2 separate regions of the Mus musculus genome follow, and region 1 is reported to be linked to region 2. Evidence: microRNA targets listed by miRTarBase, many of them from high-throughput screens and not tested one by one. Region 2 holds a microRNA gene; the other region holds the end of a gene's coding sequence.
What was found. The annotated mature microRNA mmu-miR-466f-3p reads CAUACACACACACAUACACAC and lies in region 2 at 1,512-1,532, shown strand. An mRNA with a match to its seed (bases 2 to 7 or 8) in the 3' UTR can be bound and repressed. Matches are read on the target gene's strand: a 7mer-m8 pairs with bases 2 to 8, a 7mer-A1 pairs with bases 2 to 7 and ends in A, and an 8mer does both.

Region 1 (3,000 bases), not on the chromosome of region 2:
AGGGGGTGGGTATCAGTACCAAGCTGGCCAGGTTCTCAGGCCATCGAGGCCCCTGCTCGCACACGACTCCAGAGCCCACACTACGGGCTCTTTGCCCTAACCCTCAGGTGTCTTCATCCCGAGCTGTGATGAAGATGGCTACTACCGGAAGATGCAGTGTGACCAGAGCAGAGGTGACTGCTGGTGTGTGGACCAGCTGGGCCTGGAGCTGACCGGCACACGCATGCATGGGACCCCTGACTGTGGTAAGGAGCATGCGGCTAGTTCTCAGGGTGGCGTACGTGGGGCAGGACTCCAGGCTCAGAAAGTAGACACAGTGTGTGGGTTCCTTACCGGCCTTTCGTGTGCTTTCCCAACAGATGACATCGTGGGTTTCTCCGGGGACTTTGGAAGCGGCGTTGGCTGGGAGGATGAGGAAGAAAAGGAGACAGAAGAGGCAGGGGAGGAGGCCGAGGAGGAGGAGGGTGAGGCGGGTGAGGCAGATGATGGAGGCTACATCTGGTAGATAGCCCTCGACGGCCTCGGCAGGCCAGGGTGCCGACGGCCAGAAAGACAGGCCAGAAGAGACCTGGACAACAGCAGGCAACTTAGCAAATGGATCCGGAAGTCAGTGCGGAGGACCCTGGCTCCAGTGGGGGAGGACTGGGGAGTGTGGCTTGTGTGTATGTGTGATATGAGATGTGTGTGTATGATGTGAGATGTGAGTGTGTGATGTGAGATGTGTGTATGTGAGATGTGTGTGTGTGTGTGTGTGTGTGTGATGTGAGTCACCCAAAGGTCCCTATGTTATTGATTTTCAAATGCACACTTTCACACACAAGGATACACTAACAGACCAAAATCAATGAGATGTCCCTGATCCTGCCCCTCAGCCCAACACCTGGAATCCCTGCCCTGCCTAATCAGCCCTACCCCATCCTGCCTTTCTTCCTTCCTCTTCTGAGGCCAGGGAGAGGGAGGGAGGGCAGGCAGCTGAAAGCTGAGCGTCCTCCCCAAATTGGGCTGATTTGATATGAAAGCCCCACCACGGTCTTGTGGTGATGAGGCAGGACCTGTACACACAGCAAGGCTTACTATCCGTCTCCTGACATCCGAAGAGCTCGTCGCAGGTGTGTCTAATGGCCCTTGGGCTGCACGTGGTTAAGCATAGCTGTCTCTGTGGCCCAACACAAAGAGGTAAACTTACTTAAAACACAGGGGTTTTGTTGCTGTTTGTTTTTTGTTAGTTTGTTTGTTGATAATTGGATTGAGGAGTTAATCCTCTGTCACAATGTCAAAAGCATGGACATCCCTGATAGATTATCTCTCAACCTAGTCCCGAGTAACCAGAGATAGCTCAGCAGAAGAGGCAGAAATCATGAGACAGAGGACAATGGGTCCCTTGATTTCAGGCCTCAGATTAACCCAGTCAGCACCTGTGGCCTCATGGGGCTCTGGGCTGCTTTCTTGGCGAATGGGGACTGTCATCATATAGCTGAGATTTGGAGTAGCCTGCTATGAGGGCTTGCAGTTGCACTCTCTGTTCCCTGGCGAGGGTCCCCCTTGTCCCAAGGAGCAGAGGACCAGCAAGCAGCCCGTGTCTGCTCACCTTCTCCCTGACCCTCTAGGAAATGGTTCCCTCTTGCCCCGACCAATAGAAGGGCGTGTCCCCGAGACCCTTGTGAGGAACCACGGGGAGCTGTGACTTCCTGTGCCCAGAAGGTCCTGGAGGAGAGGCCCCAAAGCCTTAGTCCTCTCAGCCATGACTTTCCTCTGTCTCAAGGGTCCCCAAGATGGCCCTAGAAGAACCATGCCCCAGACTCTATTTAAAGCCCTATAGCATATATGAATAGAGAACGGTGTATCTATCAGAGGGGACCACACTGAGCAGCTAGGCCCTGATGCCATGCCTCAGCACGCCCTCAGACCTCCAGGCCGGGTGGAAGGGGCTTTTACCCAGATGTCCTGTGGGGTTTTGTGTGTCTATTGCTCCCCACTTCCCCCTCTCAAAGGAAATTTCCTTGATATATTTGATGAAGAATTCCTTACCTGGGCCTCTGATACCCTTTGGTACGCGTACGTGTGTGTGGCGCGTATACGTGTGTGTGTGTGTGTGTGTGTGTGTGTGTGTGTGTGTGTGTGAGAGAGAGAGAGAGAGAGAGAGAGAGAGAGAGAGAGAAAGAGAGAGAGAATGAGAGAGAATGAGAGAGAGAATACCCGAGGGCCACCCTGATGCCCAGGAAGAGTGAGGGCAGCCCCCTGTGTGGTGGAAGAGGCTGGGCAGCTAGCTACTGGGGACCTTGTGCTGAGGCTTCCAGGACAAAGCCCCAGTCTGGCTCTCCCCCAGCCTCTCAGGGGCACTGGCTGGTCACATCCACTGAGTATTGATCGGTTGGACTTTAGGGAAGAGCCTCCTCCTTCCCATTCCTTTCTGCCACCCTGGAATGGCCACCTTAATCGTCATCTCCTCGGGGGGAATACGGAAATGTCACCAAGCTCCATAAAGTGCTTCTCATTCCACGACACAGTTCTGACTCTCCGGGTGACTGTCACCTGCTCCCATCCTCTTCTTCCTCCCTCCCTTCCTCAGACCTCTGCAACCATCCTCTGGTCCCTGGCTCAGTCACATCAGCCCTCTGCATTCTAGAAGCAGCCATCCCGCCCCCCTCTCTCCTCCCCCTCCTCCCCTTCCTCCTCCCTCCAGCTGGAGTTACTTGAAACTTCCTGCTCTCGCTAGGATGGAGTCTGATTCTTTCTCTGCCCCAGCTGGATTTCCAGAACATCCCCGGGTAGCTGTGAAGGATTTTAGGCTCTCTGGGGTGGGGAGGGGGTGGTGTAGAGGAAGACGCATCCCCTTCTTTCACCCTGCCCCGCCCTGCCCCGCTGGGGAGCTATGCTCTGTGTGTCCCTGGATCTTCTGGTTTTGTATCTGATGTAGTAAACATGTTTTAGTAAGAAAGCAGAAGGCGTGGAACTGTGGCAGGCCCCAGGGGTCCAGAAGTTTGTCCCTCTCTAAAACGC
Region 2 (3,422 bases):
ATGTGCATGTGTGCATATATGTATGTGTGCATGTTAATATATGCATATAAATATACACATATAAACTAACCAACACAACATGCACACACACAGAGACACACACAAATACACACACACACACACAAACTCAAAATTGATACTCATCTATCCATTTGAATGATATGTAACTTAATGTTTTAGAGCTATGTATAAATGGGTCAAGGAGAAGTCTCACTCACTAGGTGAAACACTTGCCAGAGTCAGGAGGATCAGGAGTTCAAATTCATGCTTAATTTCACAACGATTTAGAGATCAGTATGCAATTGATGTGATGCACACCAAGAATGTGCATGTGTTAGAGTTGTGTGCATATTCACTTCTCTATATGAATATGCATATACACACATGCACACACAGTAATGCCACTCATATATCCTTTGAAATGATATGTGCCATAGAGCTTTAGCGCTTATGCGGTAGTGATCCAGAGCTATGTCTCAGTTAGGAGGTGAAACGCTTGCCAGAGTCTGGAGGATCTGGAGTTCAAATTCATGTTTAACTTCATGATGAGTTAGAGTTCATCATGCGATTCATGTGATGCCCAACAAGAATGTGCATGTGTGTATAGCTGTGTGCATATTCACTTCTCTATATGAATATGCACATACACGCAAGCACACACAGGAATGGCACTCATATATCCTTTTGAATGGTATGTGACTTAGAACTTTAGAGCTTATGCAGTACTGATCAAGAGCTATGTCTCAGTTAGGAGGTTAAGTACTCTTGCCAGAGTCAGGAGGATGAGGAGTTCAAATTCATATTAAATTCATGATGAGGTAGCAATCAGTCTGGGATTCATGTGATGTCCCCCGTTTATGTGCATGTGTGCAGAAGTGTATGCATGTACATGTGTTTATGTGAATATACATATACATACACACATATACACACACATGCAAACATACATGTAGGAATGGTACTCATCGATGCATTTTAATGATATGTGACTTAGACCTTTGGAGATTATGTATGACAGGGCCAGTGTCAATTCTCACACACCTGGTGAAAACCCTTGTTAGAGTCAGGAGGTATAGGAGTTGAAAATCATGCTTAACTTCATGAGGAGTAAGAGATCATCCTGGATTCATGTGATGCCCCCTATATATGTGCATGTGTGTATACTTGTGTGTGCATGTATATGTGTCTATATGAATATACATATACATACACACCCATATACACACGCATGCACGGAAACACAAAAACATAAACATAAACACAGGAATGGCACTCATTGATCCATTTGAATGATATGTGACTTAGAGTCTTATAGATTATGCAGTAGTGTGTCAATGAACGGTCTCACTCACCAGGTGAAAGTTGTTGACAGAGTCAGGAGGATCAGGAGTTCATATTCATGCTCAATTTCAGTTAGTGATCATCCAGACATTCATGTTATGCCCCTCATGTATGTGCATGTGTGTTTACGTGTGTGTGCATGTGCATGTGTGTATATGAATATATGTATACATACACACACACATACACACGCACGCAACACACACACACACACACACACACGACACTCATTTATTCATTTGAATGATATGTGACTTAGAGTTTTAGAGATTATGTAGTACTGGGCCAGTGAGTGCTCTCACTCACAAGGTGGAAATCTTGCCAGAGTCAGGAGGATCAGGAGTCGAAATTCATTCTCAACTTCATGTTGAGTCCGGGATCAGCTTCTGATTCATGTGATGCCCCCAGTGTATGTGCCTGTGTGTATATGTATGTGTGCATGTGCATGTGTGTATATGAGTATACATATACATACGCACATACCCATACAAGCATGCACACAAACCCAAAACTGCCACTCATCGATCTATTTGAATGATATGTGTCTTAGAGTCTTAGAGATTCTGTATGACTGGGCCAGGGAGAGGATTCACTCACCAAGTAAAGACCCTTGCCAGAGTCAAGATAATCAGGAGTTCAAGGTCATGGTAAAGGCATGATGAGTTAGAGGTCATCCTGGCATTCATGTGATTGCCCCTATGTATGTGTGTATGTGTTGATGTGTGTGTACATGTACATGTGTGAATATGATATACATACATGCACACATAAGACACATATGAGCACATAGACACACAGGAATGGCACTCACTCATCAATCTATGTGACTGAGAGCTTTGGAGATTATGTGTGACTAGGTCAGGGAGAGTTATCACCCATCATATTAAAAATGCTTGTTAGAATCAGGAGGTCAGGAGGTCAAATTCATGCTTTATTTCATGATGACTTAGAAATCTGCCTGGGATTCATGTGATGCCCCCATGTATGTGTACATGCGTGTACCTGTGTGTGGATTGTGTATATGAATATACATATCTACACACGCATAGACATGTACACAGACACACAAACATGAATGCAACTCATCGATCCATTTGAATGACGTGTGACTAAGAGTTTTAAGATTCTGCAGTACTGAATAGGGAGAGGTCTCACTCAGCAGGTGAAATCCCTTGCCAGAGTCAGGTGGTCCTGGAGTACAAATTCATGTTTAACTTCATGATGAGTTAGAGTTCAGCATGCGACTCATGTGATGTCCATCAAGAATGTGCATGTGTGTATAGTTGTGTGCATATTCACTTCTCTATATGAATATGCATATACACGCATGCACGCACAGGAATGCCACTCATATATCCTTTTGAATGGTATGTGACTTAGAGCTTTAGAGCTTATGCAGTACTGGGCCAGAGCTATGGCTCAGTTAGGAGGTGAGTACTCTTGCCAGAGTCAGGAGGATGAGGAGTTCAAAATCATATTTAATTCATGATGAGTAGAGATCAGCATGCGATTCATGTGATGCCCTCCAAGAATGTGCATGTGTGTATAGCTGTGTGCATATTCACTTCTCTACATGAATATGCACATAGCTGTATGCACACATACTCACAGGAATGGCCAGAACTATGTCTCAGTTAGGAGGTGAATATTGTTGCCAGAGGGAGGAGAATATGGAGTTCAAATTCATGTTTAACTTCATGATGAGTTAGAGAACAGCCTGGAATTTCTGTGATTGTCCCCGTGTATGTGTATATGTGTATAGGTACGTGTGCATGTAAATGTGGGTATATGAACATGCATATATATATATATATATATATGTGTATATATATATATATATATACATACATACATACACATATACACACACATATGGACACATACATGTGCACACAAACACACATGGTAGTCATCCATTTGATTTATGCATGCTTAGAGTTTCATTGAGTGTATATTCATGGGATAGCAAAACATCTCACTTACCAGATGAAAACTGCTTGCCAGAGTTAGGAGTCTCAGGAGTGCAAATTCATGCTTAACTTCATGAGCAGTTAGAGATCATCCTGGAATAATGTGATGGC

Region 1: miRTarBase lists Spock2 as a target of mmu-miR-466f-3p. Seed matches in the 3' UTR shown: 7mer-m8 at 660-666, 7mer-m8 at 684-690 and 7mer-m8 at 722-728.

The regions. Positions count from the first base shown.
Region 1 is chr10:60,130,977-60,133,976 of GRCm38, forward strand. Spock2 (sparc/osteonectin, cwcv and kazal-like domains proteoglycan 2) reads left to right here. Exons shown (of 11, transcript NM_052994.2): 10 at 108-245; 11 at 360-2,938. The coding sequence ends at 505. Among named protein-coding and RNA genes, the nearest start is that of Mir6906, 5.7 kb to the left of the region's middle.
Region 2 is chr2:10,470,496-10,473,917 of GRCm38, forward strand. Mir466f-3 (microRNA 466f-3) reads left to right here and starts at 1,458; the gene lies at 1,458-1,551. All of the region lies in intron 10 of Sfmbt2 (Scm-like with four mbt domains 2), which reads left to right. Mir669d-2 (microRNA 669d-2) reads left to right here and starts at 1,149; the gene lies at 1,149-1,234. Mir297a-2 (microRNA 297a-2) reads left to right here and starts at 1,759; the gene lies at 1,759-1,848. It also overlaps Mir466o.